3 linked regions of the Bombyx mori genome follow. The protein of the gene in region 1 interacts with the protein of each later gene in a pairwise test. Links are inferred from orthologs where the notes say so. Each region holds a gene or a part of one and is shown on either strand. Other genes may lie near its edges.

Region 1 (3,517 bases):
GATTTGTATTTCGTTTCGACAGGTACGTATGACAGATACATATTATGCAGCACTGTTGGCACAGAACCCAGAAACTCAAGCTGGCATTCTACACTATCCTCCCCACTTCGGGTACCATCCTGGGATGAGAGGAGACCAAAGCAAGTGAGTAGCATAAAATTTCCGTCGACACCTATGCAAGCTTAGTGTTCGCTCACGGGGCGCGCATGCACATAAACTCTCTTGAGGTCATCCAATCCCGTTTCTGCAGGATAGCCGCCGGAGCATCGTGGTACGTGAGGAATGTTGACCTTCACGACGACCTAAATTTAGAACCTATACGTAAGCATCTTAAGGTAGTGTCAGAACACTACTTCGACAAAGCGGCGCGACACGATAATCCGCTTAGTGTGTACCGCCGCTAATTACTTATCCTGCCCAAGCGACGGGTCAATGCAAAACCGCCGTCGCCCAAAACATGTCTTGTCGGATCCACCGGATTTACTCTCGGTGCTTTTAGGCCTCCAGCACCGGTTCTCGTGGAACTCGTCGATTCCACGAGTGAACTAACCCATAGATACAGCCTACTGAGTTTCTCGCCAGATCTTGTCGGTGGGTCGCTATTCCGATCCGGTGGTAGATTCAGCGAAGCACTGCTCTTGCTAGGGCTGGTGTTAGCAAATTCTGTCAGGTTGAACCCGTGAGCTCACCTACCCGTCCGATCGTAGCTGGAATTGCCCTGTATACTACCAACGAATAGGTAGGAAAAAAGAGTTGGCGTTTTTTTTTTTATTGCTTAGATGGATGGATGAGCTCACAGCCCACCTGGTGTTAAGTGGTTACTGGACCCCATAGACATCCACAACGTAAATGCGCCATCCACCTTGAGATATAAGTTCTAAGATCTCAGTATGTACATTTGACAAGTTTTGGTTCCATTAATATATACACTAATTTAAAAAACTAGTTTTTCTTCATTTTTGTGTCAACTCTCTGTGTCATACGTTATACAATTCTCTATTGTTAATGTCTGTAATCTGTTTATTTTGTCCACCAGACAACCACACCCACGTTCATTGAACCAGCAAGACCGATCAAATTCTGCTCCAAATGTTTGCATCAACATGGTGCAGAAGCCTTTGACGCTAGCTGAACATCAAAAATGCTACAGTCAGGTAATATAGTTTTTCTAACCATCAACACAATTATGGTCCTGTGTGCTTAGTGCGAGTTTTTTAACGTTTTCGTTAGCGTAAAAGTTAACTCACAGTTATATGGAGTTGGAATGTTTGCCTACGTTTGCCGCTAGGGGCGCTGTTCTAACTGCATAGAGTTGACTTTTACGCTATCGAGAACGTTCAAAAAACTCGCACTAGGCACACTGGTGTGGATACAGGTACAGAGGTTCTAGTGAGACTAACGTTCGTAACAATTAGTTAGACTAACTCTAAAGTTCAGCGACAATCATAGAATACGAACCCTCGCTTAGTATTATTATTTATTTAACATAATTTTATTCGAAAATATATATGAAAACATCAAAATAATCTATTCTTCTGTTTCATAAACGAAATGTAACTCGATTATTAATCAGCGGAGGCGTGACGCTGCACGAGGGACCGCATACCGTTGTACTTAGTACATTACCGCTCTTAAACTGGAATTAGCAGAATTATTGAAACTCTAAACAAATAATTTTCACAATGACAGGTTAAACTGACAGTTTCGTTCCGACTGACTAAGTGACGGCCCGACTCTGACGTACCACCATTTCATACTTTGGCATTACAGCGTCTACCCTACATTTTTCTGATATTTATCAAAACAGCATTTGATCATTTAAAATAATAATTTTTACTAGTGGTAGAGGACCTCTTGTGAGGCCGCGCGAGTGGGTACCACCACCCTGCCTATTTCTGCCGTGAAGCAGTAATGCGTTTCGGTTTGAAGGGTGGGGCAGCCGTTGTAACTATACTTGAGATCTTAGAACTTATATCTCAAGGTGGGTGGCGCATTTACGTTGTGGATGTCTGTGGGGTCCAGTAACCACTTAATACCAGGTGGATTGTGAGCTCGTCCACCCATCTAAGCAATAAAAAAAAAACGTGTGGCAATCGGGAACTGCCGCGATAAAGCTATTGCATAGCATTTTTTATCAACTTATGCAATTATAATTAGACAATGACAATTTAATATTAAAACAATAATAAAACAAGAAGACGCTATATTAAATATTAATAAAAGCAAAACCTTAACTGTCCCCTTCACACTCATAAGCTAGACCGCGTGAGAGAGAGATGGGCAGACTTTTCATGATGCGCATGCAGTGTGACGTCACGCCACGCGCTTATTCACGAACACTACACAAGCGCAACGTGTGAATGTGTTGAACGCGAGCTACATGGTAGGCGGAGTGAGGGGTGTAAGATTTTTTTCGTTACGGAATTTCATGATTCGGTCGCCGCGCTCAGGCCCGCGATAAAATCTATGCAATAGCTTAAAAAAAACAACACTGTCTTAATATTAGTGAAGTCGTTATATTGTTGCTGGGCGTACAGCACGGCAGCGACAACTCCACGCAGTCGTCGAACTATCTGAGCTCGAGCGGGCCCAGCAAGGACGAGGCGGACGACAGCGACCATCCGCACAGCCACAGCACGCAGGTGACGCATCACGACACTCGACACTACACCACACACATCATCCTCTTATTGCACACTTATAACATTTACATTACTGCTATTTAAATTGACAAACAATTAAGATGTAGGTAATCATATAAACACGAAAGAGGTCTGGTCATGGAGTAAGAGCCTGAGCTTTGAATCTATAACATTAGAAAAAGCTATGCGAATAGTTCTCGAAGAAATCTAATATACTCAAACCCAATGGATAAAACCGCGTACACATATGGTCATGTAATGTGAAGTGTATATATTTATTTATTGCTTAGCTGGGTGGACGAGCTCACAGCTCACTTGGTGTTAAGTAGTTAGCGGAGTCCGTAGACATCTACAACGTAAATGTAGGTAGGCAGCGGCTTGGCTCTGCCTCCTGGCATTGCTGAAGTCCATGGGCGACGGTAACCACTCACCATCAGGTGGGCCGTATGCTCGTCTGCCTACAAGAGCAATAATATAAAAATAATAAAAATTCACTTGAGATATGAGTTCTAAGGTATCAGTATAGATACAACGGCTGCGCCGCCCTTCAAACCGGAATGTATTACTGCTTCACGGCAGAAATAGGCAGGGTGGTGGCATCTACCCCACCCTCCTGGTGGTGCGGACTCACAAGAGGCCCTACAATCAGTAAAAAGGTTGAACACGAGAATACAACTGTGCCGCAGACGTCTCCGACGGGCACGCTGCGGCCGCGGCGGGCGCGCGCGCGCTCTGCGGACGAGTCGTGGAAGAACGCGCTGTCGCCGCGGGAGAGCTACGATGACTGGGTCATCCCGGCCGACGAGATACTCATCGGCGCCAGGATAGGTCAGTCCCTCCGCATCTCAGTCTCAGTCTAGTGCAGCGGTCGGGGA
Region 2 (3,871 bases), on another chromosome or scaffold:
TGACATGTCCTTCTTCAAACGAGGCTCGTGGAGAGTATTAAGCGGTAGCCAGTGGCTTGACTCTGCCCCTGGCATTGTTGAAGTCCATGGGCAACGGTAACCACTCACCGTCAGGTGGGCCGTATGCTCAGTGGCGGATTTGCAGTCTCGGCCGCCCTAAGCCCCAAGCCATTAGCCGCCCCTTTCTCAGCATCCACCATATAGACTACATAATGAAATTACTTTATTGCCAACTTTTAGCTAAATAGATTTAGAAAAGTAGGAAAAAAAATAGTTTAAAAAACAGAAGAATATTTAAGGATGCGGTATAGATTGCATCATGCAGTGCAGTCCGCCCGCCATACGTTAAATCCTTAAATCTGGCCGCCCTAGGCCCGGGCCTACCGGGCCTTAGGGTAAATCCGCCACTGCGTCTGCCTACAAGGGCAATAAACAAAAAAAAGCCCTGGAGATCTCGCGACCCAGTCGTATTAAAGCATGAGGCATTTGAAGACACCATTTTATTCATTGGAACGGCCTCCTTTAAAACTGAGATTGCTTCATTAAATAAAAAATAAACAGGAGGATGATATAAAGAAATAAAATTTATAATATAGCTTATACTGATAACAATTAATTCTCCCTAAAGTGTCGTGTCCTTAGCGACAACCTTTTGAAAATTTGTTGCACTGCCCTCTGTACACAGCTTTTAGAACTATTAGCAGTCTAAATAAATAAAAATTGTCTTGCGTAGCTACACTAGCTACATAGATAAAAAAACGAAAAATTTATCAAATAACATACGATTCCTTTTTTTAAAAATTACACTAATTAATATTATAAAATTATTTTTTACGAAAATTTGTTAAATTAATGCATTTATTCGCTAGTCAGTACAATTGATTGTTCTAAATGAAATAATTGTACTGGTCCTGTGCAGCGTCCTGTTCATGATTTTTTATTAGTCGTTCTGTGTCTGCTAAAAGTAGAACACGAAACAAAAATAGTTTTATTTAAATTAGCCGAGTCGATATACTATAGTTTGTGAGTAGAAATATTTATATTCTTAATACTAGTGAACTGAATAGTAGGTAGTCAATGGGAAATCAGGTTAATTTTTCAAGTCAGCAACACTAACATAGTGAGCCATCGCCCTCTTAACGGTGTCATGGCGGTTTGACTTGTTGAAGGTTTTTTTTGCAATAATTACCAAGTTAATGTGCTTATTACCGATTTGATCTTTAATTTCTATAAACAAATTCAAGTGACACAATATAGGGAATAATGCGCGAGTACAAAATAGTTGTGTTAGGCAGCGGAGGCGTGGGAAAGTCCGCCCTGACAGTGCAATTTGTACAAGGCATCTTTGTCGAGAAATACGACCCAACCATCGAAGACAGCTACAGGAAACAAGTGGAAGTTGATGGACAGCAATGTATGCTCGAGATCCTGGATACCGCAGGTACAGAGCAGTTTACCGCGATGCGGGATCTCTACATGAAGAACGGGCAAGGGTTCGTGTTGGTGTACTCTATCACAGCACAGTCTACGTTCAATGACCTACAGGATCTACGTGAACAAATCCTGCGAGTGAAGGACACGACCGACGTGCCAATGGTTCTGGTAGGCAACAAAACCGATCTAGAGGCGGAGCGCGTGGTTGGCAAGGAACAGGGACAAAATCTGGCGCGCCACTTCAACTGCGCTTTCATGGAGACGTCGGCAAAAGCGAAAATACATGTTAACGATGTGTTCTATGACTTAGTGAGACAGATCAACAAGAAGTCCCCCAAGAAGGATGAACACAAACCTAATAAACGGAAATGTATTATTCTGTAAGAGTGCTGTACGAGTCTCCGACGCGTCTAGGTATAAATATATTTAATAATTTGAAAGACTTCTTGTACCCAGATTTGGCTCTCGGCAGTTCCCAAAGTTTATCTAGGTCGGGTGATGAACATTGTTGCTTCAAAATACCTGTATGAGAATGTGTGTTTGTTACACTGTATATTACATGTGCGGTAACACTCGTGAAATCCAGTGTCACTGATGATAACCACATTTTCTCTGTACAGGCGTAGTTAATAATATCTTACTCTATTTTGATAGTACAGTATTTGAGGATAAATTCATTGTCTTTGTGTGTTTCACTCTAGAAAATTCCATTTGTATTGTGTGGATGCGGTTAGATTGCGAAGTTGTAAATGATTATAAAAAAAATATTCCTTTACTACTTATGATGTAAAACATTGTATTTTGAGCCTATGGGGAGTGTGTCCCATTCTTATCTAAAACTTCAAAGTATATGATTGAACAAACCGTAATAGACTCCACAGTAAATATTTTTCGATGTCAGCATGCACTCTCCATGGCCTCCTCAGTATTAGAATCAATTCCATTTTTTTTTTCAAAATTCAGTGGAAAATTTTATGAATTGTGTTATTATAAATAACCGTGTTGGGTACAGACAGTCTTCTGTCAATTACACAGGAAAATTCCTGAGAAAACAACACATTTGCCATGAAACGCATCAAGGGCACACGCATTAAACAAACAATTCATATTATTCATTTGAAATTGTTAAAATGCCAGTTATTAAGCATTTAGTTTTTATTTGCTGTTTGGACCTAACATAAGGTTGTTAACTAGAGTCTAATTGTACTGATTGGAATTATCCGTTATGTCTATGTGACATTTAGACGGAGGCTGTAGAAGACAAGCTCGGTGTATTCTGTGCCAGCTGGTCTGAACCAGTGTAATGTTTAATAATTAAGGATACATTAAATTTTTTCAGATATATTATTGTCTTGTTATATAATTCAAGTGTATTGAAGAGAATGTTAGCGTAACAGTTTAGAACTTGATAAATTTAAATTTTAGAGAAGCCTTAGGTGATTGCACCCTGCAGATAGTTGTTGATGTCTCTATGGTGGAGTCCTGTGCCATTTGTTGTGCTTACACCATTGGCACTGTACAATTGACCCCTAAAAATATAAAGAGTTCTAAATAAAAATTATCGTTATTATAAATAAAATGAAGTTTACTAATTACAGTCTCATTTTTTAATATTAATTAAATACCAGCCAACGTTTTGCTGCTAGAACTTTGTTAAAAGTAATGATAGATGTTTGAAATATTGTTACGAGAATTAGATGTTTCCTCAATTTTTCTTCTGTTAAAGTTAATGACTACTGCACAAGGATATTGGTATAAAAACTTTGATCTGAGTTTTTAATTATATTTTTTTATATATATTGTGCAAATCAAAGAAAATATTGTATATTTTTATCTTTCGATCAATAATAATCGACATGTACAATAAATATTAATTTCTTTTTCTTTTGCAAATTTATCAATAAAACCAATTTTAAATATGATGTCTTAGGGTATATTTTGTCCCTCCCGTGATGCTCCCCTCATGTCAATTGACCTGGTTAGTGTCTGATGAGTCATGGTACAACTATCGGTCCTGGCGCGACGTACCCCCACCGACAATCAAATAAACACCAATTGACTCGGAGAATTTTAATGGTTTATAATCAAATTAAACGACAGCACATCATCTGCTACTATTTTATTTCAGTGTAAAAAAGATACATAAAAAGTGTTGCTTACACGTTATAGAACACACAATAATATTAAATATAAACGCAGTGAGACGTGGCGGTCGTATGTCGACATTCTAGTAACATAAGAATTGACACAGTCCTACATATTAACGTAATTCTAACAAAGTACGACAGAACTATGATAATCAAGCAATCTAGCTAGTTAGATAAAATAAGTATTATATTAATTCACCACTGGCACACCCCATATTGTGTAACAAGATCTAACGCATAGATCGAGCACACCATGGGATGAACTATGAAGCTAAATTAAACTTAATTTG
Region 3 (4,060 bases), on another chromosome or scaffold:
TCTTCTGAACGACATCTTAGATAAATAACAGGTTAAGTATTAACCTTTATTTAATGCAGGTTTTGAACCGTATTCTTTGAAGGAGACGATTATATTCAAATCAATCTGTATTGACATATCGATAACATTTTTTTGTCCAAATGCACAGATTGCCACCTTTGATAATAGACGACTCAATTATAGCACACGTGTAGCATTTTTTCTGTTTTGGTAAAAACCATTAAATTATTTATATAATTAGCCTGTTCTCGACCATTTTTTTATTTATCAGACACACAATACACATTACAAGCTAAAAAGATACACAAAAAGTAACAACAAGTAAAAAAAAACTGGCTTGCAACATAACATATTTCTCTTATGTAACAGAAAATGTATTATTTATTTTTAGTTAATTATTATTAACTTGTAGTAACAGTATTCCTACTTACCTCAATCGTTTTGAAGAAGTCGTCGTGGCCTAAAGGATAAGACGCCCGGTGCATTCGTGTCGAGTAATGCAACGGTGTTCGAATCACGCAGGAGGGGACCAATTTTTTTAATGAAATACATACCTACTTAACAATTGTTCACGATTGACTTCCTCGGTGAAGGAATAACATCGTGTAATAAAAATCAAACCCGCAAAAATTATAATTTAACTATATTTGTAATATGTAGTTGAGATCTTAGAACTTATATCTCACGGTGGGTGGCGCATTTACATTGTAGATGCCTATGGCTCCAGTAATCACTTAACACCAGGGGAGCTGTGAGCTCGTCGACCCATCTAAGCAATAAAACAAAATTAAAAAATGCGTAATGACTGGTGCAAGGACGTCTGTCCGCACGGGTAGGTAGGTACCACCACCCCGCCTATTTTTGCCGTGAAGCAATAATGCGTTTCGGTTTGAAACATGGAGCAGCCTGTAATAATAAAACTGAAACCTTACAACATTTAAAACCTTACGTTTAAATTAAGGCTTCAACCTTTTTGTAGCGACATCTGTTGTGGTTTGGTTGAATTAATTACCAGTTTGATTTTGGCAAATAAAAAGATTAGTAAAAATTGGAAACGTTCAGAATTCTAAAACTAAAAATACATTCATTTAACATATGATAATTAATATAAAGTTTGAAGAAAAATGATATATCTCTTCTTAATATTACTTTTTGCAAAGTAACAAAGAAAACGTTTAAATTTGTTTTGGGATGACTCATCAAGTGACAAGTACCTTTTAGTTTCTGAACGTACTCTCGCACTCCAGTAAAAGGGTGAGTGAACCGCCTCATTGTGTTATTTATTGCATTTGACTCTAATAATACATTAATTAGCCGTTTTACGGTCACATCAAGTGTAATAAAACATAGGCCGCGACAGCCATGCAGATGTGAGTAATACAAGTGTGGTGATTCTGGGGCGTTGTTTTCTAGTGCCGTGACATTGTGTGAAAAAATATTTTGTATATCTCGCAAGATGACCGAGTACAAATTGGTGGTTGTGGGTGCGGGAGGCGTTGGTAAATCCGCATTGACTATACAGCTGATACAGAATCACTTCGTGGACGAATACGATCCCACGATAGAGGATTCGTACCGTAAACAAGTCGTGATCGACGGTGAGACGTGTTTACTCGACATCCTGGACACGGCTGGCCAGGAAGAGTATTCGGCGATGAGAGACCAATACATGCGGACCGGGGAAGGATTCTTGCTGGTATTCGCCGTCAACAGTGCTAAAAGTTTCGAAGACATTGGCTCGTATCGCGAGCAGATCAAGCGAGTGAAGGACGCGGAAGAGGTGCCCATGGTACTTGTGGGCAACAAGTGCGACCTACAGTCGTGGGCCGTAGACATGGCGCGAGCACGAGAGGTTCGTAAACATTCTTACATCATCATAATAAAACTCATTACCTAATAAACAAAAATTTCTATACAAACTTACAAAATCAATAAAATTTGTGTTCTGCATTCTGTCATATGAGTTTTTTCTCTCATAAATTCCCATTGCTTTTAATATATTATCTGAATGTTTTTAGTACCGAAAATATATCCAAAGAACAACTTTACATAAACACAATACTTCCTCCTCAAAAACCTTGGATTTGACTTTGTGTAAGACAAGATCAAGTACAATTAAATAGTACCATGTTTATAATGATAAAACAAATGAGATAAGCTAAAATTATTATAGAATTTCACTTTAAATTTATTTAAAACATTAAACATTTTTGAGTCAAACTTAGAACTTGTTCTTTTTGTGTAACATCAAGTTTTTTTTTTCATTAAGATAATAATATGAGCTATTTATCTTTGTCTTAAGATAAAATGGCCATTGCCAGTTACCTATTAAGTTTATGATTCTCATGGACATTTGTTTGTTTATTATTGATTTCTGCCTGAACTTCTGAGGAATTTAGGACACATTTTTATCAATTCTTTTGGACTTACTTAGTTTGAAAACATGATTGTGTAAATAAATAATTTGCCTTCTGTCAGTAAAGCATACTGGAATTTAATGTAGTCTTATTTTTGTATGTGAAACTTCTGTTTTGGAGTAATGCATAATTAACCTACCATCTAGAGTATTTTAGAGCAAACAAAATGATACAACCCTAACATAAAGGCTTTTAAGAAAAAGAGGTTAGTTTGCATATTTTCTAACAGACATGTGCGAAACACAGTGTAGTGTGGTTCGGCTTGTGTGAAAAGAATTCATTGAATTTACAAATAAAGTTAAAAATAGTTTATGGCTAATATTCATTAAGTCCTAACTTGACTGAAAAAGTTCAAAAGTTAAACACAGCTAATTACTGTGTACTCTTGTCATCAGTACCCACAGTTGATATAGATCATTAACAGTTTTAGTTATAATTTACTGTCTCACCTAATTGACCTCGATATGTAGTGTGCCTAAGACTAACATAGCAGAAGCATTTTTTTAATTAATTACAAACACACCTTACTGTTTAGTTAAGACTTTTGTAGTTTAATCTTGTGTTTTGTAGTCACAAAAGACACAAGAGGTATTATTCACCGACATCCGAATACCGTACTAATTACTGTAAAATATGAAATAAAAATAATTAATTATTTTAATTGTGTAAACTGTAAAAATGATTTTAATTATCTCTAGAACTCCCGAAAATTTTAAGCAATACCTACACTTTACATTTAGACTTTAAACTTAAAATAATTAAAAAACTGCTATTATTTTCATGTATAACAAGGCACTATAAAAAAAAATATCCCCGGAATTGAGAACTACTGGTACCGAAAGTATTTGTACATGGATCTCGACAATACTCCTTGTATTTTTAGCTATTTGAGTCTCAATTATTTACTTGAATTCTAACTTCCTTCTACTTTTATAATCTCTCTCAATTCTCAGCACTGTAATTTCTTATGTACAGATCATCTATGAACAATACGATATCCAGTTAACAGTGAAACATGAGCTCACGTCTAATCTAAGAAACAGACTTTCTCCAATTACCGTTACAGACTTTTACGTGAGTTTTATCCAATTTCCTCTACAGGCTGCACATACCTCACTGTTTTTCTCCTTGTGTCTCTATATTAAAATGACACAAACATTAAAATGTTATTTCATTATTTATTCATTATTTTATTGAATATTCAGATATTTTGTCAACATAATAATAGCATTTCCTTATGCATTAGCTAACAATAATTACTGTTATATTAATTATAACATGAAAACAAAAATTGATTAGTCACTAAATAGGATTTAAACTGCTATTAAAAACAGAACATATTTCTGTATTACATAATAATATGTTATAACTGTGGGAAACCTACTTATAATAAAATTTGTCATCACAGTAGTTGTTTAATCTTATTTTGAAAATGCTTCTGTAGCCTACCACCAGTGATAATATACAATAATTCTAACAAATATATGAAACACGCTAACATTCTCCATATTGATATAACATATTTTTAATTCATGTTATGGTGAGACTATGATAGGGCTTCTCAGGGTATACCACTGCAGCGATTGCTTTGTCCAGCCATTTTGCATCAAGGAGGTGGATCTTAGAGCTTTTGTCCAGATTTA

Evidence for each region. The genes of interacting proteins can lie anywhere in the genome.
Region 2: the proteins of raf (region 1) and Ras3 interact in a two-hybrid assay, tested with the Drosophila melanogaster proteins (2 studies listed by BioGRID). The link is inferred for Bombyx mori from reciprocal best matches to the Drosophila melanogaster genes Raf and Rap1.
Region 3: the proteins of raf (region 1) and Ras1 interact in a two-hybrid assay, tested with the Drosophila melanogaster proteins (2 studies listed by BioGRID). The link is inferred for Bombyx mori from reciprocal best matches to the Drosophila melanogaster genes Raf and Ras85D.

The regions. Positions count from the first base shown.
Region 1 is NC_085121.1:974,359-977,875, reverse strand, and holds part of raf (raf kinase, effector of Ras), read left to right. Parts: intron 1-22; coding exon 23-144; intron 145-1,036; coding exon 1,037-1,154; intron 1,155-2,537; coding exon 2,538-2,642; intron 2,643-3,328; coding exon 3,329-3,470; intron 3,471-3,517.
Region 2 is NC_085112.1:14,078,492-14,082,362, reverse strand, and holds Ras3 (ras protein), read left to right. Parts: upstream 1-1,152; 5' UTR 1,153-1,263; coding exon 1,264-1,818; 3' UTR 1,819-3,356; downstream 3,357-3,871. UniProt on the Drosophila melanogaster protein: Ras proteins bind GDP/GTP and possess intrinsic GTPase activity. Plays a role in photoreceptor cell determination.
Region 3 is NC_085127.1:13,622,832-13,626,891, reverse strand, and holds the start of Ras1 (ras-like protein 1), read left to right. Parts: upstream 1-1,245; 5' UTR 1,246-1,456; coding exon 1,457-1,852; intron 1,853-3,575; exon of another isoform or gene 3,576-4,060. UniProt on the Drosophila melanogaster protein: Ras proteins bind GDP/GTP and possess intrinsic GTPase activity. Plays a role in eye development by regulating cell growth, survival of postmitotic ommatidial cells and differentiation of photoreceptor cells.